Macaca fascicularis: one gene and its partners. The protein of the gene in region 7 purifies or fractionates together with the protein of the main gene of each other region. This does not show direct contact. Links are inferred from orthologs where the notes say so. Each region holds a gene or a part of one and is shown on either strand. Other genes may lie near its edges. The genes, in order: SNAP23, VAMP4, PTTG1IP, VAMP8, VAMP3, STX8 and STX7.

Region 1 (4,081 bases), on a different chromosome or scaffold from region 7:
TTTTTTTTTTTTTTTTTGAGACAGAGTCTTGCTCTATCGCCCAGGCTGGAGTGCAGTGGCTCGAGCTCGGCTCACTGCAAGCTCCGCCTCCTGGGTTCAGGCCATTCTCCTGCCTCAGCCTCCCGAGTTGCTGTGACTACAGGCGCCCGCCACCACGCCACCACGCCCGGCTAATTTTTTTGTATTTTTAGTAGAGACGGGGTTTCACCGTGTTAAGCAGGATGGTCTCGATCTCCTGACCTCGCGATCCGCCCGCCTCGGCCTCCCAAAGTGCTGGGATTACAGGCGTGAGCCACCACGCCCGGCCATATTTTGTATTTTTAGTAGAGACGGGGGTTTCTCTATTTTTGCTAGGCTGGTCTCGAACTCCTGACCTCGTGATCTGCCCGCTTCAGCCTCCCAAAGTGCTGGGATTGATTACAGGTGTGAGCCACTGTGCCTGGTGAAGCACTTTATTTTCTTGATTTCCAGCAGTTTGTTTTATTCTTAGAGGTGCATGGAAGGGTTCCTGCAGCAAATAGTTTACAATAATCATCCATCTGCTTAAAACTCTTCAATAGTTTTCAGTGCCCATAGTACAAAGTGGTCTAAAATTCCAAGGCCTTCCAAAATCTAGCGATTGTCGGCCTTCTAAAGCTTTCTTCCCTCTACACTCTGGGATGTACGATTAGCTCTAAGCCTCTTACAAGGATGAACTACTAGAAATTTCCAGAAGGCGTTATGCTGTTCTCGACATAAGCTGTTTCCCAGAGCCTGGAAAACTCTAGCTCTTTCTCTGCCGGATTTCCGGGGGAACTCCTACTTATCCTTCAGGACTCAAGTCACTTCCTCCGGGAACCCTTCCAGACACCCCTAAGAATAAAACGCTTTGTTCATTATCAGCCAAAGGCGCCTCAGATTTTCTATGTGCTATGCACTGTATTCTATTCACTATAAATTTGTTTACATATCTATATCTTAGTCTAGACATATTGAAAGACGCTGAAGGGCAGGGAAAGCATTCTATTCGCTTTCTTTTCTTCATCGTTCATCCAGCACAGTGCCTGGCACACGGTTTGCCCTCCGTAAATGTTTATTGCATGAACACCTCCCAGCTTCGGGCATGACCGGAATCTATCCGGTTAACTGGTGAATTCCCAGACTCTCCGCCTGCGTGGCAGGGACATTTAAACCCCCAGCACCGTGATTGGCTCCAGCTGAAGGGGTGTGTCCGTGTCCTCGGCGCACGGGATGTGCGCAGGCGCGCGGGCTCGGCGCGCGCAGGCGCGACTAGGGCGCCGCGCCAGGTCCGGTGTTGGGGTGTCCGAGCTGCGGCTGGAGAGGAGTGGCCTTACCCGCTTGGTGAGTCTCCAGGAGTGGGACGGAGGGAGCTGACCGGGATGAAGTCGGAGAGTATGTCCTGAGAAGAAAGAGTATATCGTATTGGTTGAAAAGTTGGTGGGGTCGGGCTTAAGCGGAGGAGGGGGCGCTCTGGCCCTTACTGGGCAAATGGGCCCGGAGCGAGGACGGGAGGTGCCGTGAGAACATCGAGGGGCCAGTGGAGGAAGGTGGCTGGATGGTGATTCTCTGGACCCTTCCTCGAAATTAAACAGAGATCACCTCCCGTCCCTCACCCCCACTGTGTTGCTGTGGTTGACATTAATAGACTGCATGTCTGGTGACCACGGTGACCAGATAGCTCTGAGATAATGGCTTGAGGAAGGACTCTCAGGTTCCTGGTATTGGATAGCACTTTCTCTGTAGAAAGGTTCAGCCTTACCTCGCGGCACAAATTAGAGGATCAGGAAAAGAATGAATTCCACAATTCGGGATTGTAGTGGTGGGGGGAAAAAGTACTGTAAAGTGCAGTTTCATCTCGTCCTTTTTTTCTTCTTTAATCATTAGTCACCACAATGTTAGGAAAGGCAGTTGATGGTAGGAGAAAACGTAAAGACATAAAAGTAGGGGAGAAAAAAAGTCAAGAAGGGAGTATCACTTTGCCTTTTGCTATTTGTCATCTCCTGGAATGGAGTCTGTATTAGACCGATCTCACACTGCTATAAAGAAGTACCCGAGGCCGGGCTTGGTGGCTCATGCCTGTAATCCCAGCACTTTGGGAGGCCCAGGTGGGAAGATCACTTGAGATCAGGAGTTCGAGACCAGCCTGGCCAACATGATGAACTCCCATCTCTACTAAAAATACAAAAATTAGCCAGGCATGGTGGCATATGCTTGTAATCCCAGCTACTCCGGAGGTTGAGGCAGGAGAATTCCCTGAACCTGGGAAGCAGAGTTTGCAGTCAACTGAGATCATGCCACTGTGCTCCAGCCTGGGAGGCAGAGTCAGACTCCATCTCCAAAAGAAAAAGAAAAAGAAATACCTGAGACTGGGTAATTGATAAAGGAAAGACGTTTAATTGACTCTCAGTTCTGCATGGCTGGGGAGGCCTCAAGAAACTTATAATCGTGGTGGAAGGCAAAGGAGAAGCCAAGTACCTTCTTCACAAGATGGCAGGAGAGACAGAGTGAAGGGGAAAGAGCCCCTTATAAAACCAGTATCATGAGAACAGCATGGGGGAAACCACCTCCATAATTTAATCACCTCCCACCAGATTCGAGATGAGGTTATGGGTAGCCAAACCATATCATTCTGCCCCTGGCCCCTTTCTTTCTTTCTTTCTTTCTTTTTTTTTTTTTTTTTTTGAGACAGAGTCACCCAGGCTGGAGCGCAGTGGCGCTATGTCGGCTCACTACAACCTCCAACACTTCAGCCATCCTCCTGCCTCACCCTCCTGAATAGAGACTACAGATGCATTCCACCAAACCTGCCTTTTTTTTTTTTTTTTTTTTTTTTTTTGAGATGGGGTCTTGCTCTGTTGCTCAGATTGGAGTGCAGTGGCATGATCTCCGCTCACTGCAACCTCCATCTCCCAGGGTCAAGCAGTTCTCCTGCATCAGCCTCCCAAGTAGCTGGGATTACAGGCGCCTGCCACCACACCTGGCTAATTTTTGTATTTTTAGTAGAGATGGGGTTTGGCCATGTTGGCCAGGCTGGTCTTGAACTCCCGACCTCAGGTTATCCACTGGCTTCCACCTCCCAAAGTGCTGGGATTACAGGCGTGAGCCACCGCACCTGGCTAATTTTTGTATTTTTTAGTAGAGACGGGATTTCACTATATTGGCCAGGCTGGTCTTGAACTCCTGACCTCATGATCCACCCGCCTCGTCCTCCCAAGGTTCTGGGATTACAGACGTGAGCCACCACTCCCGGCTCCCCTGGCCCTTTTCTAATCTCATGTCCTCACAGTTCAAAACACAATCATGCCTTCCCAACAGGCCTCCAAAGTCTTAACTCATTCCAGTATTAACCCAAAAGTCCAAGTCCAAAGTCTCATCTGAGACAAGGCAAGTCCCTTTTGCCTAGGAGCCTGTAAAATCAAAAGCAAGTTAGTTACTTCTAAGATGCTATGGGGGAATAGGCATTGGTAAATGCTCCCATTCCAAATGGGAGAAATTGGACAAAACAAAGGGGTTACTGGCCCTATACAAGTCCAAAATCCAGTGGGACAGTCATTCCATCTTAAAGCTTATTTTAATCTCCTTTGACTCCATGTCTCACATCCAGGGCATGCTGATGCAAAGAGTGGGCTCCCAAGGGCTTGAGCAGTTCCGACCCTGTGGCTTTGCAGGGTTCAGGCCCAGAGGCTGCTCTCCTAGGCTGGCATTCAGTGCCTGCGGCTTTTCCAGGTGTATGGTGCAAGCTGTTTGTAGACCTGCCATTCTGGAGTCTGGAGGATGGTGGCCATCTTCTCACAGCTCCACTAGGCAGTGCCCCAGTGGGGACTCTGGGGGGGCTCCAACCCCATGTTTCCTTTCTGCAACACCCTAGCAGAGGTTCTCCTTGAGGTCTCTTCCCCTGCAGCAGACTTTGGCCTGGACATCCAGGGATTTCCATACATCTTCTGAAATCTAGACAGAGGTTCCCAAACCTCAATTCTTGACTTCTGTGCACCTGCAGCCCCAGCATCACGTGCAAGCTACCAAGGTTTTGGGGCTTGCAGCCTCTGAAGCAACAGCCCAAGCTGTACCTTGGTCCCTTTTA
Region 2 (4,005 bases), on a different chromosome or scaffold from region 7:
ATCACGCCTAGACAGAGATATAAACCATGAGAGGTTTCTAAGTGGGCCGTTTCAGTCCAAGTCAGCAACTTGGCATAAACATAGGCAACTGAGTTTAGCATCAAGCTTTCAGAACCTTCAACTGACAACCCAACGGCTGTTTCTAAATCTCAGACCATTTAAATCAGAATCTAGGTAACACGTGGGCACCTACGCAGTTTTAAAAGCTTTCCAAGTGATTCAACTCCAAGTGAATCAGAGTTGAGCATCATTGCCTTAGTCATGGCATTTTTCAAATTCGTTAGTACAGTTTTACATTAAAAAAAAAATCAAAAGAAGAGCAACTTTTTGGTAAGAGGGTGTCTATTCTTTCCTTTCCTTTAGTGTCCTCAGATCTTTCCTCCTGCTGTTTTGTCTACTCTTGTTCTTGAACACCCCCTCTTATTTTTATATCTTTAGAAAGTGCCTGGCAAAGCATTTCAGACAGTTAAAATACTCTATCAACAAAGGACCCATAGACACTGTATTCATTTTAAAAGATGTGTAGTGAATATGATTCAATGAGTAAAATAATCCAGCTGGGGCGTGGGAGGAATGGATAATAAAACAAATAAGAGAACGGAAAAACAAAATTAGGACTTGTTTTTGGTAGCCAGCTACAGCGGGCTTCGAGATCTAAACATGATACCAAATTGGGCGGAGGGGGAGGGAGTGAGGGAGGAATGGGCAGAGTGGCGGAATGGCCTGGCAAGGGCGATTTCCCTGAAACCTGAAGGCTTTCAGGTTACAACTAAGGGATACCAGGAAAAGAACACCGAGCCCTCGTTCCGTATCTATCTAAACTAGCTGTGTAACTTTAAGTCAGTCTCCTCTCTGAACCAGATATTCCACCTATCTAAAGGGAGGAGCCTGGCCTAGGAACCCCTAACATCTCTTTCCAAGTGTAGCTAATTCTGTAAACAAGGGATCGAACAGATCTCCTTTCTTCAGAAAAGGCCCCAGACGAACCCGAAGCAGGTCCACCGGATCGCGACCGGAACCTGGAGAACCGGTGGTCGTTCCTCCCCTAAAGCACAGCATAACCTTGGAAAGCTGCACCTAAACTGCGTGTGGGTCCGGGCTCTTTTAGGCGAAGCGCGTTCGGCGGAATCGACTTCCTCGACTATCTCCGTGCCCTGGACCCGCCCTCTCCGCCTGGCGCCAGGCCGCCGAGCGCCGATCGGCTCGATGAGCGGAGGCGCTTCTGCGGCGCTGCGGCCGACGCCGGGTCTGCATCCACTGTCTCCCCCTCCCAGCTTTTTACCTCGGCTTCCCACTCCTTCCCCCGCCCGCCCAGCACCGCCCGCCCAGCACCGCCAGCCCGGGAGAGCTGCCGGGAGTTCCCCGGGAGCCTCAGGTACTGGCGCTGGCCTGTTCCCAGCGGGAGGGGCTGGTGTGAGGAGGAAGGAAACGAAGAAGACGCCCTGCCTCGCCGCCCCCCGACGTCCTAGTCGGGCTGGTCGGCCGGCCTCCGGCATCTAGGAAGGGACCCCGGAGTGGGAAAAGGCTGGGGCCCGGGGTGTCGTGAGGAAGGAAGACGAGGACAGGGGTGTGCGGACGGGGAGCAGTTGAGGAAGAGAAGACTTGGAATGGAAGGGAACTCTGGGTGATGGGAAGAAAACAGTGCCATGGATGGGGAAGGTTTGTTAAGAGTGGGATGCAGTCAGGAATGCCAGGGGGTACCGTGGGGCAGGAAGGGCCAGTGTTAGGAGCAGATATATCCAGGGACGTGGCCTGGTGCGACAGATTGGGTGTGGGGGGTGAACGGAGCTGCCTGGAATTGTGTATTTAAAGGGCTCAGGAGAAAGAGCGCCAACCCTGCTGTGTTTATAATGACCGGAAGGTGGGGGTGAATCGTTACACTTGACAGGTTTTGCAAATGACATCTCCGGTTTGTGTCCATCCAAGTCACTTTATTTCTGTGAAACTGCATCAAGCAAGACGGCTGATGACAGACAAGGAAGACGAGTCAGAAAGGGAATGGAGGCTGGGAAAAGGAGAGCCTCTGCCCAGATTCAAAGCTGTTGACTAGATAACGTACTACTTACAAAAATGCATACATAGACATTTAAGTATATGCCGATGTATAAGAAGCATACGGTGATGTGACTTTTTTAAGTGAATTTTATAGTGGTGGTCTATCCTCAATGTGGAAGTACATGATAGCTCTCTTATTTACATGTATACCTAGTCACAAACACCTGAATTCACATGTCTTTTTTGTAGGAGAATCTTAGGCGGACGATATCCTTGTCTACTTTCTGAGCATGATTCATTTCTACTAGTTGTTTGATACACATGTCATCAGTTACTAATAATCACCAGTTGCAAATAACGTCAAAGTTCATCAACGTAGCTAATTAATCTGCCTACTGCTTTGCTGATGGGCTTTCTATTTGTTGCACATGGTTTCCTGGGATTAAGAGACCTGAATATGGGGTTTGCTCCTCCTTAAGATTGTAGTTTTACCCTATGTCTCATAAAGGCATTATATAAGTCAGCCTGTTGTTTGCTTTGAGATGTTGAGGGAGCCTCTTTGCAGGGGTTAAAATCTAAATACAGATATAGTTAAAAGCACAAGTTCTTCAGTAATTTGCCTTGTCATCTGTTTTTCCATGCATTCTGTTACATTTCTGCAAGAATTAAGTATTCTGAAATCAAAGTATGAGGAATAAAAGGGCCAGATGTATGTGACAGAAATATTGTGGAACCAAGAACTCAAGAGCTGTTAGGCAGCAAGAGTTTGGTTTTTGTTACAAGTGAATAATTTCTGATTTGGAAGCATTTCTTACCAAAGAAAAGTGTTTGTGTCCGTTTGTTTTGACAAGCAGCTGACTTAAAATATTACTTTTATTTGGTTCGTGAAACATGATTCTGGGATTATTCTTTTTTAAGTGTATATCATTAACCAACAAACTGATATCTAACTATACCTAATTTAAAGGGCTGTGTTTCTTCTTGTGGAGAAGGAAACAGGACTATTGGGTTGTTACCAGGAAGTGGGTCTTTCTAGAACAGAATTCTGTAAACCTGATGAGCAACTAATTGAAAAAAACAGTTAAAACTGATAATGCACAGCCATTGATTAATTTAGGCCTGTATCTCTGCTGTTTCAATGAGTGTAGTGACTAACGTTATCGTTACTAAACTTTAGTTTTCTCCTAGTTTCTTGGTGCCTACTTCAAAGAAGGGTCATAAAGAGTAAAAGAAAATGCATGCATATCACTGAGCACAGTGCCTAGCACACAGTATAACATTATTTCTGAGCTATCCTGAATTGCTGAGTATTCATCTACCATCTAGTCAAAAATACTGAAAATTCATTATTTGCATAGAACAACTTTTTCTCAAAAAAAATTTTTAATATGTTGCATACACAAGCATTTTCCTGGAAAGTCACAATGCATATTAGCATATAACAGGATGTGAGTCATTCTGTAGCAAAGAAAACTAGTTTTGTTTAATCCAGTTGTTTTGATAGAAGAAAAATTGAGTTTCTCCTATTCTCTCTCAACACAGAATACTCCTGTGACCCCAAAAAGACTTCTCCTCACAAGCAAGCAGGCAGTTCTGCAGCAGGTTCTCCAGCTGGGTGTTCTCTCATTCAATTCTGATACTGTATACCTAGAGATAGCATCAGATCGGGCAGGTTGAGGGCTTAAGCCTACAAGATTCCCCCCTTCAGGTGCCAGTCACAAGTTCCAGGTTGTTTTACCTGTGCTTCCAACTGACTGGCTATAAATCATAGTTCCCACAATCCCTTCCTTGTGTTCCATTTATTTGCTAGAGTGGCTCACAGAATTCAGAGAAACACTTTGTTTACTGGTTTATTATAAAGGATAGAGATCAACAGCCAGATGGAAGAGGTGCATAGGGCAAGGGGTACAGAGCTTCTGTGCCCTCTCCAGGTGTGCCACCGTCCAGGAACCCTCTACTTGTTCAGCTTTCGGGAAGCTCTCTGAACCCTGTCCTTTTTGGGTTCTATGG
Region 3 (4,161 bases), on a different chromosome or scaffold from region 7:
GGGTAGACGGAACAGTCTGAACCTCAGCCCTGGGAGGCTGCCAGAGACCCCGATCAGTTCCCAGGCGGTCGGGTGAGCCAAGGCCGCTCCGCGGGTGCCAGCGCTCCGAGTGCCAGAGAAGTGGCTCGGATCACAGGAGGCTGGCTTCGGGCCCATCTGCAGGCGCCCAGATCCCAACCTAAAATCACACAGAGTCAGAATCTAATGTAAGGGGGGTTTATTCAAAGGTGGTTGGAGGCTGGCCCACCCGGAAACACCAACTCCAGAGGAATGGAGTCCGCCCTCGGAAGCAGGCAGGGGAAGGGTGCCCTCGGGCAGGCAGAGGCCGAGGGGCTTTTAGCAGGATCGCGGCGTCCTTCCTACGAGGTGGGCGCAGTCACGGCGTTTGATGGGTGACGGGCAGTGCCTGTTTCGGGGAAGGGTACATTTAACCCGTCAGAGGGTGCGGCAGTCACGGCTTCCCGTCTTCTGGTCTAAGCAGTGCAGAAAACAGGGGAAGTTCATCTACAAGGGTCATGAACCAAGAAGGCAGGAGGTTTCCGTCCCTGGCACCAGAGAATCCCGGACCCGAGAAAGGAGCTGCGGGCGCACGGGAGCGGGCGGCCCCGGCTCTCGTGGGGCTTAAAGCGGCAGACTGTGTTCAGGTTCACGCCTCTAAATGTATTTTTGCCATTTCTTAAGTCGCCTTAAAAATGTCCGTCACCATTTAGTCCTTTCATCAACCGAGCAGCGAGGGCGTCGGCGAGAAGCCAGGGAGGAGAAACGGCGCCTCTCTCGGGAATTTAGGTGGCAGCTTCAGCACTACACGTTTCAGCCTATTTTGGGGCCGCTTCCAGTGCGGTTAACGTACAAAAATAAATAAATCCCCGAAACACCCCACGCGGACATCCGCGGGAGCCCAGCGCGGGAAGCCGCGGTGTGGAGCGCGGGCACCGGCGCGGACTACGAGGGCCCACCCGCGTCTCCTCCAGGTCTCACTTGAGAGCAGCGTGAGCAGGGCCTGGGGCCGTCGTCCGGGACGCCCGTAGCCCTTTAGGATGGAGGCCGCCGTCACCTCCGCCACCGAAGCACCGCGCTCAGCCACGCCTCTCAGCCGGCCGCCCGTCCCCGCCGCGCAGGCGCAGGAGCCGCGGCGGGCCCCTCGGTCACTCCTCGCCCACCCGCGCCACGGAGGCGCACTGAGCCTCAGCCGCTCTCCTCACTACCGGGCGCCGTTCCTCCATCGCGCAGGCGCACTGAACCTCAGCCGCGCCGGGAGGCGGGCCGGATGGCGAGGGGGCGGAGCGAGCTGCTTTTTGAGGCTGCGCAGTCGCGTGGCCCCGCCCCGCAGGTCCACTTCCGGCGCCGCGGCTCTTTCTGGCAGAGACAGCTTGTGCTGTAGTCGGAGTTATAACGAGCCCCTGACCGACGGAGCGACCGCCGACCATGGCTCCCGGAGTGGCCCGCGGGCCGACGCCGTACTGGAGGTTGCCCCTCGGTGGCGCCGCGCTACTCCTGCTGCTCATCCCGGTGGCCGCCGCGCAGGAGCCTCTCGGAGCCGGTGAGGGCGCCGGGGCGGGCGGGGCCGCGAAGGGGGCGGGGCGGCTGGTGGGTCCAGGTCGGGGTCGGAGTCCGGGTCCGGGTCGGGGTCGCGGCCTGGGCGCTGGGCTCGGCGGGCGGCCTAGGCCCACGGTCGCAGGCACTGCCCAGGCGGCGGCTTCTCGAGGGTCACGCCGGTCTGGCGGCCGCGGGAGCTGCCGTCACGGCTGGGGCGCGGGCCGGGGAAGAGCCGCCTTTGTCTTTGTCTTTTTGTTTTGTCCAGTCTCTGCGGCCTCTCCTCGCGCGTGGCGGCGGGTTGGCCCTCGCTCGGCAGGCGGCACTCTTGGCACCTGCGGCCTCTCTTAGCCTCACTGAGACCTCAGACAGCTCTCCTCGGGTTCGATCCCGAGCCGGGATGGCGGCTCACGACGTGCTCGAGGTCGCACAGCTGGTCGGGTGCAGGTCGGGATGGCGGCCCCAGGCCCCTGGAGGGTGATGGGGGCCGCGGCCGGCGTGTCTCTGCAGTTGCCGGCGTTCACGCCGCCGCTCCCTCCGGGCCACAGTTCCATGCACAGCAGCGAACGCTCGCACTTATCTTATGCCTCAGAAAGGAAGGCTTCTCCAAAACCAGGCTGTAGCATCTGATTTTGAAGCAAGCTGATTGCGGGTCTACGCTGTCCAGACCCGCAGGTGGCATTCTTCATTCGTTTATCCCATCTGCACCAGGCCCTGCGGCCACAGTGGTGACCGACAGACATAGCTTCTGTCCTAGAGGAGCTGAGTCCCCGGGAGGCTGACCAAGAAAGAAGCAGTGAGGGCGCGGGGGCTGGAGGAGTGCTAGTGGAGGAAAGTGCGTGACAGGAGACTCAGAGTTCCAGAAACCGGGAGTGTTTATAGAGAGTGGCTTCCTGTGGGGCTGGGCCTCCAGGACCTGGTGGGCTGCGGGAAAATCCAGCAGGTTCTAAGCTGGAGAGTGTCATGGTTGGACCTGTTTCAGAATGTCATGCTGGTTTCCGTGTTTGGAGTTTCCAGGGGACCACTAGTGGTGGGGAATAGTGCCACCTTAACTTCAGTTTCCTGACCCTTACAATTAGGGTTGACCTGGGCCCAGCTTGAGGGGCTAATACTTTTCTCAACTCATGTTAGCCCAGGCTCTGTCAGGGTCTGCTAAGCATAGTAGAGCACTTTTTCTTTTTGTGACCTTATGGAATGTTTATTCCAGTGCGGGGTTATTTGTGTTTCTTCTTATCTGTTTCCATGTGTACTTAGTGTTTGTGACGTTAGCAATGCAGCTGCCTTGAAGTTTGTTAATCAAGGAGGCCAGTGGTACTGTACTGGGAACTTTTGGCCCACATTGAGTTCTAAGCACAAATGTGCAATGAATACGTTTCAAGAAACGGAATGGGCGTTTGCCGGGAGAGTGTGTGATTCACTTGAAACTCGTATCAGTGGCTCGGGGGTGTGTTTGCTTGCATTGTTAAAGTGGGAGTGTTACGAAAGCCACCCTGAGGTTTTTGTTTGACTACTGTGATTCCTTCTACTCTGCACTTCTGAAGGGTGCAGAGATGGGTGTGGACAAGTGGAGTGGACAGTTTGGGAATTAATCCAGAACTGCCATTCGGTGTGTCAGCTGAAAAGCACTTCCTTCTCCTCTAGGAGACCACTCTTGGTTACTTCCACTTAGAGTAATCTCCAAGTCCCGGTGGGTGAACTGTTGTTTCTCTTACTGGGGACCCCTTGAAATAGGAAGAATGGTGCCACGTCATGTTGGCATTCACTGCCCAGGCGCCCGTGGTGTCTGCGTGCCCCTTGTCCTTGGAGAGAGGGCCTATTTATAGCTTGGAGAACTCGCATCTTCCCACAGAGTACTTGCTTAGTGTGAGATTTTTTACTGCTTGTCATAGTTACAGGAATGTGACCACAATACTAATGTTTAAAACATTTTGTCTTCTTTACAAGGACACTGTGTGAATTTAAAGAATACATTATACCAATCCAAATCCAACACTTTTAAGCATCTTTTTATGTGTTTTGATGGAGGAGAGACATTAAGAACCCATGGTGTATTGAAGATCTTTGGAGCAAGATTCTTGAAGTTAAAGAAACCTGGATAGGGCTTTTGGACCCCACTTTATTTATGTATGGGGTCAGACTCAATCCAAGAGCTTCATCTGGAGGAAAGACGACCCCAAAAAGGAGTTCGGACTACTGTCTGAGGGCTGGAGCAGTGTGGCCAGTGCAGGTCCCTGAGGTGGTAGGTGCCACCCAGCCGCTCCTTACAGTGGGGCCTCCTGATGTGGAAAGGGGTATCTGTAGTCGGCCCATCACTCTGAGAAGCATGGCTTTCTAACTTCACAGAGTGCTACAGTGTACACAGGGTTCACAGCGTTGATATATACTATTAATCTTCAACTCTTTGTTTTGAAATAGTGGAATTTGCAAGAACGTTTTTTGTCTCCATATCTGCCCTCTTTTCTCACCTGGAATTGACAATGTAGTTGGTCTTCATGCCTCTGTCCCAGTGCAGAGTGGGCACCATGCCTCTTTGGCTGTTGGTTCTGATGAGAACTGCAGCCTGGAGACTGCAGCGTGTGGCCTGCTGTGTGACAGGAGCATGACGAGGAAATACTTAACACTTGCTGA
Region 4 (3,992 bases), on a different chromosome or scaffold from region 7:
TAGTGGAAAAGTCCTTTGCCTTGGGCCCCTGCTCTGGTACACCAGGGCAGTCTTCTGATCACTGATCACTGACTGGGATCAATTACCTCTCTGGTGGTCCCTGAAGGGAAATGCAGAATTGCTGAACTCTGGAAGGGAAGGAGGGGTTTGGTGAGCCATCATTACAGACACTGTGCTAGTGGCAGTGCACTGCACACGCTATCTTTTTTTTTTTTTTGAGACAGAGTCTTGCTCTTATTGCCCAGGCTGGAGTGCAATGGCATAGTCTTAGCTCACTGCAATCTCTGTCTCCCAGGTTCAAGCGATTCTCCCGCCTCAGCCTCCTGAGTAGCTGGGATTACAGGCACCTGCCACCATGCCTGGCTAATTATTTTGTATTTTTAGTAGAGACGGGGTTTTGCCATGTTGGCCAGGCTGGTCTCGAACTCCTGACCTCAAGTGATCTGCCTGCCTTGGCCTCCCAAAGTACTGGGATTACAGGCGTGAGCTACCATGCCCAGCCTCTTTTTGCTTCTTACCAGCACTGTCTGAGCTAAGCATCAGCACCTGCAAACTCCACAGAGGTGAAAAGGTTCACTCAGGGGCCTGTAACTAGTAACCCAGAGCTTTCTGAATCAGAGCCCAGGATCACAGTATTCCAGACTTCAGGGGTTTTAGTGCTTTCTGTCACTGAGGGACCTGAGAACAAGTGTTATCCAGCAAGAAATTTTCATAACTGCATTTTATTTCCCTGTGAGCCAGGCCTGGCATGGTTGATCTCTGTCTCTAGAAACTGGAGTCAGATATTCAAGACATTAAAAGGAGATGGCTGGTGGGGCGTCATGGCTCCTAGGACTTTGGGAGGTTGAGGTGGGAGGATTGTCTGAGCCCAGGAGTTTGAGACCAGCCTGGGCAACATGGTGAGACCTCATCTCTATTAAAAAAAAAAAAAAAAAGAAAGAGAGAGAGAGATGGCTGCCCTTTCTAGATCAGGAGGTCCAGCCTCAGGAAACCTTGGAGGGCTGCTTGATCTTTCTTTTCTAATTCCTGAAAAGTTAGAAGACCTTTAACATCTGAGAGCCCTATTACTCTAAGCTTAAGCTCTTGTTTGGGAAGCCACTGGGTGGACAGTGAAGAGTGCCCGCCTACCTGGGGAAACCTGAGTTAGGTGTGGCTGGAGCGACTCGAGATGCGAGGTGGGCGGGGGCAGGCTGAAAGCTGGAGCAAGCAGGAAGTGAGCTGACGGCCACCCTGGGAGGAAGCCGACTAGGCTAATTCACCTGCTGATCGGCCCGGGCTGCTCTGAGACATGGTGAGCGAACTGGAAACTAGGAAAGGGCTGATTTAAAGAGGAGCCAGAAGGGGCTCGGGACTGGGGGTTGGCTGTGGGGGGGGAGGAGAGTTGGCGGCAAAGTTAGAGGGCTGGGCCAGTGCTGCCTGTGGCCTCTCCTCTTTGACAACTTGGCTGCAAATAGCTCTGAACCGTCCTAGCAGGTGTTTCTATTCCTTCTTCCTCCCTCCCCTGACCTCTGTGCTGGTGGGGAGCTGGGCTTCCGTGCCAGTGCCAATGGGGGCTCCGAATTCCAGGCAAAGTGTTGTTGTGCCTTCCTCCTCCAGGGAGCCCGAGGCGGGTGTTGTGACACCACCAGGCAGTGCTTGGGCAGTTTCCAGTTCAGATTCCAGCCCAGCGGCAGGAGCTCTCCTCTCTGGCCTTTCACTTTATCCCTACACAGAAACACAAAGGATTTGTGTGTCCACTGAGTCCTTTGGGTGTCCTTTCTCCATTAACATGAAGAAGAGAACTAAGGGTTTATAAGATAACCAGAAGTTGGTTCTCTGTGATAAGCTAGTTCTGACCCATGCCACTGGCCTGTTTTTGGAGGTCAAGGAGGGAGGAGCTTAATAATGTTTTTCTCTCCTTGTTCAAAAACCTTGTCATGAAGTCTCTGAGATGAGACATCAGCCAGGGAGGACTAGTCCTCCATTTCCCCCAACACCCAGGCGGGTATTTTTATTTAATGTCTGCATAAGCAGGTGGTTGCTTGGTGCCTGTGCGTGGTGCCCAGTGGTAGGGAAAGCAGAAGTGTGTGGCTCAACGGCTGTGGGCGCCTTCTGGGGTACTTGGTTGCCTGTTGTTCTGGGTCACAGCAGCAATGGCATTGCGGCCAGGGCCATGCTCCAGCAGCTATTTAGAGGGGCAGATGGGTCAGGCTGGGTGAGGGTGTTTTGCTGGCCAGCACAGACACTTTCAATGAGGATCCCGAGAAATCAGGAAAGAGGGGTGGCTCCGGGAATTGTAAATAGTGGTGGGCTCTGCCCTGGAAAGGGAACATTGTGAGATGCCGGCTCTGCTGTATTCTATGGCCTTCTCTAGGGAGCAAGGAAGCAGTGGGGAGGGATTTAGTGATGCGCTGCTTTTCCTTGTCAGGGGTCCTAACAATCCTGAAAGAAGTTTGATCTAGTCTCTTTAGCATCACGTCTTACCTTCTGGGGCTTACAAATGCATTTATTTTTGATTACACAAGTAATACATGAAAACATTCTCTTTGTAAACATTTCAAGCATTTTACAAAAAGCTGAAGTCTGCCTGAGGCCTTACCCTCCCCAGGCCTCTGAGGCCAAGTCTCCAGTTCCCCCACCACTTGGTCTAATTAACCCCGTGTTGCTGTGCAGGAGGAAGCCAGTGAAGGTGGAGGAAATGATCGCGTGCGGAACCTGCAGAGTGAGGTGGAGGGAGTTAAGAATATTATGACCCAGAATGTGGAGCGGATCCTGGCCCGAGGGGAAAACTTGGAACATCTCCGCAACAAGACAGAGGATCTGGAAGCCACAGTGAGACAGGGAGCCCACTGGAGGCTGGAGGAAAAGAGGAAGGGAGGGAATTTCTTTTTGGTGGGGCAAAATGAACAGGAGGGTCAGAAGTGTAACATTTCTGTTGCCTTTCACCTGGTTTGGGAGCTGATGTGAGCTGAGTCTCCACTTCTGAATCTGCTCTGCTCCACAGATTGTTATGGATCCCAGGGAATGGATCCCATGACTGGGGCTTGAGGTGGCAGCTCACCCATAGAGGCATATTCTGAGACCGATAGCTCAGTCAGCCCATGCATTCTCAGGCTTCTCTCCCGGGAAACTTGTTTTCCCTTTGAAGCCTGCCCATGACAATCATTTGGATCTGACCTTCCCAGGGCAGAAGTATTGGCTTTGAGGAAACCCCCCCACCGTGGCCTCTAGCCTTCTCTAGGAGCTATTAGACAAGGGGTGGGAAATTGCTGGTATCTTGCTGAGTTGGCTTTAAAAAGAAGGAGGAAAGAGCAGAGAAATGCTTTGATCCCAGGGTCCCCTGCTAGATGAAGGCTAAAATAATATCTCCCACACATCTTGCTAGACCTCATTCTTCTCTCTCTCCAGCCAGGGGCTGCGGCCAGCTGTTTCAGGGAGGAAGTAACTCCAAAGTTGAGCAAAGTCTGGAGCCTCAGGTTTTGTGTCCAGCTGGGAAGCTGGCTCTGGCTTTCTTAGTCCTGTGTGAACTCTTGGCTCTTGGGTATTGCTCCCTTGTCTCCCTGGGGCTCATTGCCTGTTTCTGTAGCTTAATTGTAGCTTAATTTGGGGAGCACGGCCCCAGGATTTTTTTTTTTTTTTTTTTAATAGAGCCTCACTCTGTTGCCCAGGCTAGAGTGGTGCAATCTCGGCTCACTTCAACCTTCGCCTCCTGGGTTCAAATGATTCTCTTGCCTCAGCCTCCTGAGTAGCTGGGATTACAGTGTGCACCACCACACCTGGCTAATTTTTGTATTTTCAGTAGAGACGAAGTTTTGCCATGTTGGCTAGGCTGGTCTCGAACTCCTGACCTCAGGTGATCCACCCACCTTGGCCTCTCAAAGTGCTGGGATTACAGACTTGAGTCACCATGCCTGGACAAGCACTAGGAAATTTAGTGTCTATAACTCGAATTGCTGGGCATGGGGAAGAGTGCATGGAGGAGGAGGAGTTCCCTTACTTCCAACCCTCTGTAC
Region 5 (3,500 bases), on a different chromosome or scaffold from region 7:
CCAGTAAGAAACCCATTGTAATTCTGTCCTGCCTGAAATTTCTGTTGACTTATAAAATCAAATTGGAATTTTTTTTAACCAAAGGAATTTTAAGGAGGGTTGTTTTTTATTGAGGTGAAATTACCATAACGTACAACTAAACATTTTAAAGTGTATATAATTGAGTGTTATTTAGTATATTCGTAATATTTTGCAACTGTTACCTCTTTCCATTTTCAAAACTTTTTCATCACCCTAGAACACTTCATACCCATTTAGTAATCATTCACTATTTCCCCTTCCTCCCATTTCCTTGTTACCTCTAATCAGCTCTCTCTTTCTGTGGATTTGCCTGTTCTGGATATGTCATATAAAAGGAATCATACAGTATGTGGCCTTTGGCATCTGCCTTCTTTCACTTAGCACAAAGTTTTTCGCATTCATTTAAGTTGTAACGCGTTGTACCATGTTCCTTTTTATGGTTGAGTAATATTCCATTGTATGTGTATACACAATGTGTTGAGCCATTCATTTGTTAATGAGTCTTTGAGTTGTTTACATCTTTCAGCAATTATGAATAATGCTGTTATAAACATTCACAGGAAAGATTTTGTTTAGACATATGCTTTCATTGATCTTGAATATATACCTAGGAGTAGCATTGCTAGGTCATAGTAACTGTATGTTTAATTTTACGAGGAACTGCCAAATTGTTTTCTACGATAGCCACACCATTTTATTTTCCCACCAGCAATGTCCAAGAGTTCCTGTTTCTCCACATCCTTGCCAACACTTGTTTTCCATTTTGATTATAACCATCCTACTGAGCTCTTTGGGTTTTCATTTGCCTTTCTCTAATGATTAGTGATGGTAAGCATCTTTTCATGTGCTTATTGGCCATTTGTATGTCTTTAAAGAAATGTCTGTTCAGGCTTTGCCCATTTTTTAATTGGGTTGTTTTTGAGTTGTGAGAGTTTTTTATGTGTTCTAGATATTAAATCTTTCTTTAGTAGACATGTGATTTGCAAATACTTTCTCCCATTCTGTGGCTTGTCTTTTACGTTCTTCAAAATGTTCTTTTTTAATTTTTATCTTTTTTTTTTTTGAGACAAGAGTCTTGCTCTGTCACCCAGGCTGGAGTGCAGTGGTGCAGTCTCAGCTCAGTGCAGCCTCCAAGCCCCGGGTTCAAGTGATTCTCCTGCCTCAGCCCCCAGAGTAGCTGGAATTACAGGCACCCACCGCCTTGCCCAGCTAATTTTTTGTATTTTTAGTAGAGACAGTGGTTCACCATGTTGGTCAGGCTGGTCTCGAACTCCTGACTTCAGGTGATCCACCTGCTTGGGGCTCCCAAAGTGCTGGGAATATAGGCATGAGCCACCGCACCTGGCCTGATAATGTTCTTTGATGCACAAAAGTTTTTAATTTTTATGAAGTCCAGTGTATCTGTTTTTCCTTTTGTTGTTCTTGATTTCAGTATCAAATCTAAGAATCCACAGTCAAATCCAAAGTAATGAAGATTTACCCTTATGTTTTCTTCTAAGAGTTTTATGGCTTTAGCTCTTACACTTAGATTATTGATCCCTTTTGAGTTACTTTTTGTATATAGGGTGAGGTAAGGATTCAACTTCATTCTTTTGCGTGTTGGCTCTTCAGTTGGCCCGGCACTGTTTATTGAAAAAACTGTTGGATGGCCTTCGCACTCTTGTCAAAAATCAATTGGCCATAAATGTTTTCTAGTTTTCATTGTCCAAGTCATTCGCCTTTTGGTTAAATTTATTCCTAGGTATTTTATTCTGTTGGATGCTATTGTAAACACAATTGTTTCCTTAATTTCCACCTCAGATTATTTGTTGCTGGTGTATAGAAACACAACTGATTGCTATGTGTTGTTGTACCCTGCAATTTTGCTGTATTTGTTAGCTCTAGCAGTTTGTTGTGGATTCTTTGGTATTTTTTATATAAAGAGAATCATCTGCAAATACAGATAGGTTTATTCTTTTTTTCCAATTTGGATGCCTTTTCTTTCTCTTGACTAATTGTTCTGTTCAGAACTTCCAGTACAGTATTGAGTGGCAGTGTGAAAGTGAGCATCGTTGTCTCGTTCCTGATCTTAGGGGGGATGTCTTTCACCATTGAGCATGATATTAGTTGTGGATTTTCCCATAAATGCCCTTTATCATATTAAAGAAATTCCCTTCTATCCTTAATATGCTGATTGTTTTGATGATGAAAGAGTGAGCTCATTTTTTTTAAAGCGAAAGTTTGGCTCAAAGTAATAAAGTGCTGACCTGAAAGAACAATGTGCCCATAGATTGTCTTTGAAGTCTCTGTGCCTCTATTTTTTTTGGGACAGAGTCTCACTCTGTCGCCCAGGTCGAAGTGCAATGGCGCAATCTCACCCACTGCAACCTCCGCCCTCTGGGTTCAAGTGAGTCTCCTGCCTCAGCCTCCTGAATAGTTGGGATTACAAGCACCCAGCACCACGCCCGGCTAATTTTCTTATACTCTTAGTACTGAGACAGGGTTTCGCCGTGTTGGCCAGGTTGGTCTCGAACTCCTGACCACAGGTGATCCACCCGTCTCGGCCTCCCAGAGTGCTGGGATTACAGGCGTGAGCCACCACACGTGGCCCTATTCCTCCATTCTTTGTGCATTACTTGTTGTGATCACACTCATCTAGGTGGTGGACATAATGCGAGTTAATGTGGACAAGGTTCTGGAAAGAGACCAGAAGCTCTCTGAGTTAGACGACCGTGCAGATGCACTGCAGGCAGGCGCTTCTCAATTTGAAACGAGTGCAGCCAAGTTGAAGAGGAAATATTGGTGGAAGAATTGCAAGGTAATTATCTTTTAACTCACCTTTACATTTAAGCCCCCTTCTCCATTCTCAGAGAATTAACAGGCTACAGATAATGGACTTTCATGACTCTGGGAGGTGGGTTTGATTTCCTCCACATGGAAATGTGGGTCCACTGTGAATCTGAAACACTGACTACATACCCTTTCCTAGCCTCACCCTGGGAATCCTCTATGTGTTGTGGCTGATCTTCAGAAGATGCACGTAGAACAAGAATATCCAAAATCACTCACAGTCATCAGCCCCTCCCAACCCTCTACCCCAGCAGGGCCCCAAACACATAGGAGAGGGCTGGAATTGGTTAGTTTTCGTGTAGTTCTGTGAATGGTTCCAAGGTCAAGGGAAAGAAATGCTAGAAAGCCACAGTGTGCCCAACAGAAGAGTAGAAAGCAGCCCGCCCAGGAGCACGAGCCAAAGCAGATTTTATACAGTCAGTGAGTCAGCGTGCTGCGACCAGATCCAGATGTATCCTGTCCTCTGCCTTGTTTACAAGTGACACTTTGAGACACAGGGCAAGCTGAGCAGCCTTTCCATATGTGGAAAACTTGTATACACACACAAATGCCTAGCTAGAGGCCACACATCATTTGAACATCTTTTAAAAAGCAGGGAAGTTACCTTCAGGCCCTAATTGAGAACATTTAATTTAGGCTTTAGAAATTAT
Region 6 (4,079 bases), on a different chromosome or scaffold from region 7:
TATTCTCTCTAAAGCCTGCTACCCAGAGGCTTCATTTGCATGATAAAATCTTGGTCTCCACTACCCCTTATCATAACCCAGACATTCCTTTCTATTGATAATAAGTCAACCAATTGCCAATCAGAAAATTTTTCAAACTACTTATGACCTTGAAGCCTCCCCCACCCCCTTCAAGGTGTCCCGCCCTTCTGGATTGAGCCATCATAAATCTCACATGTATTAACTCATGTATTATTCTTCCTAAATTGTATAAAAGCAAGCTGTTCCCCAACCACCTTGGGCACAGGTCTTCAGAACCTCCTGAGGCTGTGTCACGGGTGCATTTGTTATTATTATTATTATTTTTTTTTTTGAGACAGAGTATCGCCCTATCGCCCAGACTGGAGTGCAGTGGCGCAATCTCGGCTCACTGCAACCTCTGCCTCCCAGGTTCAAGCGATTCTCCTGCCTCAGCCTCCCAAGTAGCTAGGATTACAGCGCGTGCCTCCACGCTCAGCTAATTTTTTTTGTATTTTTAGTAGAGACGGGGTTTCACCATGTTGGCCAGGCTGGTCTCGAACTCCTGACCTCGTGATCCACACGGGTGCATTCTTAACCTTGGCAAAATAAACTTTCTAAATTGATTGAGTCCTGTCTCAGATACTTTGGGGTTCACAGTATCAAGGGCCTTAAAAATGTTCGTACCCTTCAGCCCTCACTTTCAACAATCTAATGAGAAAGCCACTTAGTCAAACTAATTGAGAATAACAAAAAAAAAAATAAATGCTTTCACTTTCAACAGTTCTAATTCCTACTTCTAGACAGGGAGCCCAAGGAAATAAGAGATGGAACAAAGGAACTGCCTTTGCAATCATAAAACAAAACAAAACATCAAAAAACCAAAAAACTAATATGAGGAGAAAAATAAATTATGGTCATTCATGTGATGCATTATTATGCAACATTAGAAAATTATGAGGCCGGGTGTGGTGGCTCACACCTGTAATCACAGCACTTTGGGAGGCCGAGGCACGCAGATTGCCTGAGCTCAGGAATTCGAGATCAGCCTGGGCAACACCGCGAAACCCTGTCTCTACTAAAATACAAAAAATTAGCTGGGTGTGGCAGCATGAGCCTGTAGTTCCAGCTACTCTGGAAGCTGAGGCAGGAGAGTTGCTTGAACCCGGGAGGTGGAGGTTGCAGTGAGCCAAGATCATGCCATTGCACTCCAGCCTGGGTGACAGAGCAAGACTCCATCTCAAAAAAAAAAAAAAAGAGAGAGAAAGAAAATTATGTTTTCAAAGAATGTCCAATGACATAGAGAAATGCTGTTTTACTATATATAAAATACAGATTAAAGTAACAAATTCATTGTTAAAAATTAAACAATGGCTATTTCCAAATTATAGAGTTAAAGATGCTATTTATTTTCCTCTGCAAATTTTCAATATTCTCTAAATTAGATATTCTCTATCAAGGGGTGTATATAACTGTTAAAATTAGGGATTTGGGTTTTTTGGTTTTTTTTTTTTTTTTTTTTTTTTTTGAGGCGGAGTTTCGCACTTGTTGCCCAGGCTGGAGTGCAATGGCGCTATGTCAGCTCACCACAACCTACATCTCTCGGGTTCAAGCGATTCTCCTGCCTCAGTCTCCTGAGTAGCTGGGATTACAGGCACCCACCACCACGCCCAGCTGATTTTGTAATCTTTAGTAGAGAGGGGGTTTCTCCATGTTGGTCAGGCTGGTCTCGAACTCCCGACCTCAGGTGATCCACCTGCGTCGGTCTCCCAAAGTACTGGGATTACAGGCGTGAGCCACCACCGCGTCCGGCCTAAAATTAGGTCTAAAAAGGTCAATGCTAAATTAAATAATTGACCCAAATAACCTAGATTCCAGGTAACTCAACTTTGTTCTTGGAACCCATTCTTCTAACATCCAGGCTGAGGGTAACTTAAAGAATTATAAACTATATTAGAAATAACAACATAAGACATATATTCCAACAAGAACGTTATAGAGCTGTAATGTTTTTAATTATTAAGCAGAAAGGTCAAGTCTATGTTCAATAACAATATGTTCCTTGGGATCAAACAATATGTTCCTTGAGATCAAAAGTTACATCTTTCATCAAGCAGTCCTTGGGATTGACTGCTAAATAAATGACCCTTATCACCTATTGTTTTACTGCAGAAGCTACTGCTAAAGGAAAAGACTTCATGATATTAACTCAAGAAAGTGCAAAATGCCTTATAAACAAGCGCACAATTTCCCTCCCAGGTTCCTGTATCTGGAAGGGCCCCCAGGATCTAGGTCTTAGACCCAGCTGGTTACTAACTGGCTGGTGACCATGGATTCTGAACCTCGGTTTCTCCACCTGTGAAATAAGGGGGTTTACCGAGATGGACAGACATGCTACAAAAAGGTTATTTCGACTTCACTTTTATAGGAGTCCAAGGAAGCCTGCACCGGCCAGCTCCACAACCAGGATGGGCGGGAAATCCCCGCAGCGAGATGCAGCCCAGAAAAGCTAGAGAAATATTCAGAGATTTGGCTCAAATCCTCAGCTCTCCAGCTGACCACCCGGTCTCCTTCCCCAGCTACCCTTGGAAGGACCAAGGGTGGCGGGATGTGGCTGAGTCCCCTCAGTAGAGGAAGGGTCTCGCTGCCCCTCCCCTCATCTCGAAAGGCCTCCAGGGGCAATGCGAAGTGATCGCCTGCTCCCCGGAAGCCCGGCTTCCCCGAAGGTCCCTCCGCGCACCGCCACCCTCACCCTGGGCTCACCAGGGGTCCGGTGCCATCCTGCAGACTCCGCCCGCCGCTCGGACTCTTCCTGCTCTTAGCAGCTGACTACGGCGGCCCGCACGGCTCACTCCCCGCAGTTCGTCCCGTGCGCGACCGGAGCCTGGAGTTTGCAAAGTGAATAACTAGAGCCTAAGAACCATGATCAGAGAAAGGAAAGTGCTCCCCTGGGAACAGTTGGCTGGCGCAATCTACTCCCACTAAGAGACGCGAACAGCTGAGCTCAGTTAAAATTGTTAAATAGAAACTAACCATTTTCCCAGGAAGGTGGGAGCGCTTGCAAGACCTCCGTAGCAGTTACTTAAAAATTTATCCTGCTTCAAAAAAACAAAACAACAAACAAAACACTAGATTGCGGTGCGACTTGCACACTTCGTAAACTTACTACAACCTACTTTAAGTTAACTTTATGATATGTAAATTATACCTCAATAACGCTTTTTAAAAATATATTTAAAATATTTTTTCACGCTGCTTTAAACAGGGGCCCAAAGAAGTATCAATTTTATATATATATTTATGTATTTATTTATTTTATAGCAGCCTTCCCATCAGTCCTCTATGCTTGATTACATATTTTTAAAAATGCCATTCATTTGGTGCTTGATTTTAGAGTTACTAAGAAGTCACAGACTCAACACGAGGGGATGGAGGAATTAGTTCTGTGCAGTTAGTGCCATCTCCTAAATTTCCAGAGAAACAGCAGACACAAAAAAGATGAATCCCACCCTATCTCCCTCCCAGTCCCTATCTCCCTTCATTTCCAAGAATGCTAATGAACTCGAATTCGGCAGGCTGGGTTTCTGCGCGGGCGTGGAGCTGGCGCGCATGCGCTCGTCCGTTACCATAACGACCAGAAGACGCTGCACCCACTAGGGCGGAGAGCAAAGTAAGCAGAACCTCCCAGGGATGGATAACAAAATTTCGCCGGAGGCCCAAGTGGCGGAGCTGGAACTTGACGCCGTGATCGGCTTCAATGGTGAGGCCTCCAGCATCTTTGGGCTGGCTGGTTTAGGAACTCGGAGGACCTGTAGTGCAAACAGGAATAGTGAGACACCGGGGACACCTGAAATTCAGTGTGGGACAACGGCAGGAGCCCTGGGCAGGGACACACACGGAGGACCCGCATAGCCTGACCCTCCCCAAGGCCTTGGAGAGTCACTTCCTCGATCCGAGAGCCTCAGGGAGTGGGATGGTTTTTACCAGCTCTGACAAGCGCCAGCTCCTAAAAGGGACCAAATGCCTCCTCCCCAGGCGGGCCGGATGGGTACGGGTGGTTGTAACCCTTCTGCCACTAGGTC
Region 7 (3,926 bases):
ACATTGTATACATCTACTGAGGTATCACATGTACCCCACAAATGTGTATAATCATTATCTGTCAATTAAAATAAAAGCAAAAAATATCTTATTATAAGCTGTTAACAAGGTAACTGCAGTAAGAAACTACACTTTTACTCTACATTTCATTTTTTGATGTGACAATTTACACCGTTTTATATTGTATATCACTTAAATTACATTGTAGCTCTTGTTTTTAAAAAATTAAAATTAATTAAAATTAAGTTAAATGAAAAATTCAGTTCCTCGGTCATACTAGACACCTTTCAAACGTTCAAAAATTCTGTGTTCCTAGTGGCCAGCAGCTTGGACAGCTCATTCACAGACCACGTCCATCATCACAGAAAGAGCTATTGCACAGTGCCAATCTCCACATCGCAATAATCATCTTTCTATGAAGATACACAAACACCATAAAGAGAAAAACAGGAAGGGAGAATCAAAGTGCAACACTCAGATGAGCGTCTTCTCAAGACTGCTTCTAAAGAACACAAAAGAATGAACAAAGGGAACGTTAAAATGTAATCTTAAAGTGTCAAACACTACTCCCAGTTAAAATCAGATACACTGTAGAATCCTTAAGATTTCCATTTAGCATATATCTCATGCTCTATAAATCTACTCTGGGCAAAGAAGGGGTCAATTTCACTTTCTTAATCATTAACATCAGCATAAACAACTGGACTTCTCTCTACCCTCTACCCCAAATAAGTTCTGACGGGTGGGGGGTGAGCATTTTTTTGCCTGTTTTGTGGATTGCACTATTCTCAGTGCCTGGCTACATCATAAGTGCTTAACAAATATTTGTAGAATGAATGAATGTACCCACTTCCTAAGAACACACACCCAGCGTGAGGGTAAATATTACCATTTCTAAAACATAAAATTCCAGTGCCTTCTTTCAGATCCCGAAGGTCGCAGGCTCCTTGCTGCCTTAGGCCTTTGCTGGGTGCCATTTCCTATTTCTAGAAGGCTCTTCTCATGATCTCCATGTGACTGGCTCCTTCTCCCCAGCAAGGCCTCATCACATGCTAGAGAAACCTTTGTGACCACTCTGATCTGAAAGTGAGAACTCACCACAGGCCACTCTTTGTCAATCTAACTTACTGCTTCACAATACTCAATAGTCTAATTAGTTACTGTTTATTATTGATCCCTACACCTCTGGAATACAAACCTTTATTATTGATCCCTATACCTCTGGAATACAAACAGGAGCTACTTCTGGAATATAAACAGGGGATAGATGACCTTGTCATTCTGTGTAATCTACAGTGCCTGGTGCATACTAAATGCTCAAGGAACTGTCTACATAAGTATCCTCTGCACAAACTACATTAACTGCATTCTTTGGCCTTAGATCTTCCATCACTGAACTTTTGTACTACTTGGTTTTAGTTCACAATATCAAGGATTATTTTTTTCACACTTTCACACATGAAACTTGCAAATTAAATGGAATCACAGCAAACTTTACTCAGACTTACTGTGGATATTTTCTATAATTTACTTTTCAATCATCAGCACTTAAAGTTTGGGGTCATAATCAAAATGAGAATTGATTTTGTTATCAAGAGCAACATAAGTAACATATCCGAGGAAAAATGATGATGTTAATGACTTAATATGGTATCATATTAACCTCTGCAGACACTGTGAAGTTAAGAGCATAATTCTTAACTAGTCACAAGTCTGAGGCCAACTTCTCAAAGTGGCCTATAAGGCCTGGCCACATCACAAACACAGTTTAACACCATTATTAGCCTCTGCCCAGGTGTGCTCAGAGAACCTGCAGAAGAAACGCTCACTTCCAACATTATTAAATAGCACAGCATTTCATAATTACTTTCTTTTCTTCCAGATTCTAGGCAAGTTTTATATACTATATATAATTATAGTCAGAATACAACGATCTGAGGTAAACAAAAATTAACGTATATAGATAACAGTCAAGCAAATGTGAGAAATTTGTGGGAAAAAAACACACAGCATTTGATCAGAAATGCAACTTTTTTTTCTTTGTCTGAATTTAAAGAAAGTAAGTAACTAAAAAACAAGGTGGAGGAAATACTAGAAATATTTTATGTATGTTTAAAGGTTTTTATGTAAATTAATTAAACGTGTATACTAAGAATGTCAAAGTATGTTAAGTCATCAAGCCAAATAAAACAAATACTACGAGCCACTGAATAAACAAACATACACGGTTTGTCTGCTACAGCCATACATTTTTCAGTTCCTCTATATTCGGGAAGTTTAAAGTGTGTTTTTCAATCCATGAGTTGAAAAGAGGAAGAGGTCATTTGGTCGTGTCTGGATTCCTGGGCTGGGCCCCAGCCGGGTCTGGCGCCGGCCACGCCGTGCGCCTCGGGAGCGCTGCCCATGGGACCACGGCGGGTGCGTGGCTGGCCAGGCCCACCTAACCACAGCCGCGCACTCCAGGAATGCGGAACGCGCCGCGCCCCTGCACCCGGCCTGGGGGTATGGGGAGCCGCAGGCGCTCCGGGAGCCGGGGCAGTCCGGCCCTTCCTCACCTACCGAGTGCCTGCTGCAGAGCGCAGGGCGGCGGCCACCTGACCACGCGCACAAACAAGGAGGAGCGGCGCCGCAGGGGCACCGCGCCTCCCTGTCGCACGGCCAGGAAACCCCCCTCCCCAGGGTCCTCTTACCTGGACCTCGGTGGCTCCCTCCTACACCTCCGACCACCGTCACCCACCGACCCCCGAGCCTTCAGCTGCAATTCTCAGCTGATGGGCGGTGGCGTGGGGACGCCCAATGCGCATGCCCGCAGCACAATTCAAGGAAGAAGGCGGGGTTCACCCCTTTTCTATTGGCCCGCGGGGCTGAGTGACAGCGGCCCTCACCGCCCCTTCGGTTCCAAGCTAAGGAATGGGAGTATCAGCAAAATTGCAAGGGAGCTGTTCTTTGAAGCCTGACGTAGAGATGGTGAACGCCTCTTAGCCTGCGTGCAAAAAAGCAGAGGACAGAATGGAGGACAGTTGTCTTCTTTATCTGGTGAAGCCTTCTTGCACGCAGGTCTTCACCCCGCCCCTTTAGCTCCTGCCTATCTTGTTTGCTAACCTTTAACTGCAGTAGATCGCGTTCACAGCTCTATCGAAAAATGCAAAGGCGAATACAAAATCCTAGCGGGAACAATGAAGGAATAAGTGAAGAGTCATCTCTGGGTCCTCACTTAGTAAACAAGTTTTCCTAGTACGTACAAGTCATTCGAAGCATTCCTGAAAAGCAGGGCGTAGTTTTCACAGGGTTTAAAACAAGCAGAGACTGTTCCAATGATAAATATGCAAATATAATATAATTGTTAGATGAAAAGCATCAATTGCTACAAATGAAAGAAAGCCCTCACCAAATTAATTAGAAGATAGATTGGCTTAGCCTTCGCCTATATTAAGGAAACACTATTTTCTAAAATGATTACCCGGATATGTGATATCAAAAGTCCAGATGCACTTAGGTGGAAAAAAGCAAAACCTAGTATAGAATTCTGGTTGAAACTCACCAACACTAAGTGTGGAATGTTATCTGTTTAAGAGAGATGGACAGAGAAAGAATAACCCAGAAAAGGAGTAACCCACAAGATAGGAAATAAACCAGGAAAAGGCAAACTAGAGAATGAAGGGAAAAAAGAGGGAATGGTCCATCATGTCATCTGTCACAGAAAGTTCAAGTAAATAAAGAACTGAAAGTAGTGCATTGTACTTGAGAATTAGGAAGTGGCTGGTGAACGTAGGAAGAGACATTTCAATCGTTGAAGGAACTCATGAAAGGATCTTACATCTGTGTGAGGTTTAGTGCACTTTCCAAATACCATTCATATTATCTTTGATAGACCTCTGGGCTCTGGGAGGGGAAGGTACAATGCACTACAGAAGAACCTGAGATTA

Evidence for each region.
Region 1: the proteins of STX7 (region 7) and SNAP23 purify together in Homo sapiens (affinity purification with mass spectrometry; 3 studies listed by BioGRID and IntAct, counting the BioPlex papers as one, with this or other methods). This does not show direct contact. The link is inferred for Macaca fascicularis from reciprocal best matches to the Homo sapiens genes STX7 and SNAP23.
Region 2: the proteins of STX7 (region 7) and VAMP4 purify together in Homo sapiens (affinity purification with mass spectrometry; 3 studies listed by BioGRID and IntAct, counting the BioPlex papers as one, with this or other methods). This does not show direct contact. The link is inferred for Macaca fascicularis from reciprocal best matches to the Homo sapiens genes STX7 and VAMP4.
Region 3: the proteins of STX7 (region 7) and PTTG1IP purify together in Homo sapiens (affinity purification with mass spectrometry; 3 studies listed by BioGRID and IntAct, counting the BioPlex papers as one, with this or other methods). This does not show direct contact. The link is inferred for Macaca fascicularis from reciprocal best matches to the Homo sapiens genes STX7 and PTTG1IP.
Region 4: the proteins of STX7 (region 7) and VAMP8 purify together in Homo sapiens (affinity purification with mass spectrometry; 7 studies listed by BioGRID and IntAct, counting the BioPlex papers as one, with this or other methods). This does not show direct contact. The link is inferred for Macaca fascicularis from reciprocal best matches to the Homo sapiens genes STX7 and VAMP8.
Region 5: the proteins of STX7 (region 7) and VAMP3 purify together in Homo sapiens (affinity purification with mass spectrometry; 3 studies listed by BioGRID and IntAct, counting the BioPlex papers as one, with this or other methods). This does not show direct contact. The link is inferred for Macaca fascicularis from reciprocal best matches to the Homo sapiens genes STX7 and VAMP3.
Region 6: the proteins of STX7 (region 7) and STX8 purify together in Homo sapiens (affinity purification with mass spectrometry; 5 studies listed by BioGRID and IntAct, counting the BioPlex papers as one, with this or other methods). This does not show direct contact. The link is inferred for Macaca fascicularis from reciprocal best matches to the Homo sapiens genes STX7 and STX8.

What each region holds. Positions count from the first base shown.
Region 1 is NC_088381.1:19,102,931-19,107,011, forward strand, and holds the start of SNAP23 (synaptosomal-associated protein 23), read left to right. Parts: upstream 1-1,281; 5' UTR 1,282-1,341; exon of another isoform or gene 1,342-1,392; intron 1,393-4,081. UniProt on the Homo sapiens protein: Essential component of the high affinity receptor for the general membrane fusion machinery and an important regulator of transport vesicle docking and fusion.
Region 2 is NC_088375.1:29,354,531-29,358,535, reverse strand, and holds the start of VAMP4 (vesicle-associated membrane protein 4), read left to right. Parts: upstream 1-1,205; 5' UTR 1,206-1,375; exon of another isoform or gene 1,376-1,659; intron 1,660-4,005. UniProt on the Homo sapiens protein: Involved in the pathway that functions to remove an inhibitor (probably synaptotagmin-4) of calcium-triggered exocytosis during the maturation of secretory granules.
Region 3 is NC_088377.1:2,169,845-2,174,005, forward strand, and holds the start of PTTG1IP (pituitary tumor-transforming gene 1 protein-interacting protein), read left to right. Parts: upstream 1-1,361; 5' UTR 1,362-1,425; coding exon 1,426-1,540; intron 1,541-4,161. UniProt on the Homo sapiens protein: May facilitate PTTG1 nuclear translocation.
Region 4 is NC_088387.1:36,008,971-36,012,962, reverse strand, and holds the start of VAMP8 (vesicle-associated membrane protein 8), read left to right. Parts: upstream 1-1,192; 5' UTR 1,193-1,288; coding exon 1,289-1,291; intron 1,292-2,652; coding exon 2,653-2,811; intron 2,812-3,992. UniProt on the Homo sapiens protein: SNAREs, soluble N-ethylmaleimide-sensitive factor-attachment protein receptors, are essential proteins for fusion of cellular membranes.
Region 5 is NC_088375.1:227,095,572-227,099,071, reverse strand, and holds part of VAMP3 (vesicle-associated membrane protein 3), read left to right. Parts: intron 1-2,659; coding exon 2,660-2,818; intron 2,819-3,500. UniProt on the Homo sapiens protein: SNARE involved in vesicular transport from the late endosomes to the trans-Golgi network.
Region 6 is NC_088390.1:9,661,652-9,665,730, forward strand, and holds the start of STX8 (syntaxin-8), read right to left. Parts: upstream 2,801-4,079; 5' UTR 2,778-2,800; coding exon 2,761-2,777; intron 1-2,760. Other genes in the region: CFAP52 (cilia- and flagella-associated protein 52), read left to right, coding at 3,688-3,757. UniProt on the Homo sapiens protein: Vesicle trafficking protein that functions in the early secretory pathway, possibly by mediating retrograde transport from cis-Golgi membranes to the ER.
Region 7 is NC_088378.1:36,468,806-36,472,731, forward strand, and holds the start of STX7 (syntaxin-7), read right to left. Parts: upstream 2,801-3,926; 5' UTR 2,691-2,800; intron 1-2,690. UniProt on the Homo sapiens protein: May be involved in protein trafficking from the plasma membrane to the early endosome (EE) as well as in homotypic fusion of endocytic organelles. Mediates the endocytic trafficking from early endosomes to late endosomes and lysosomes.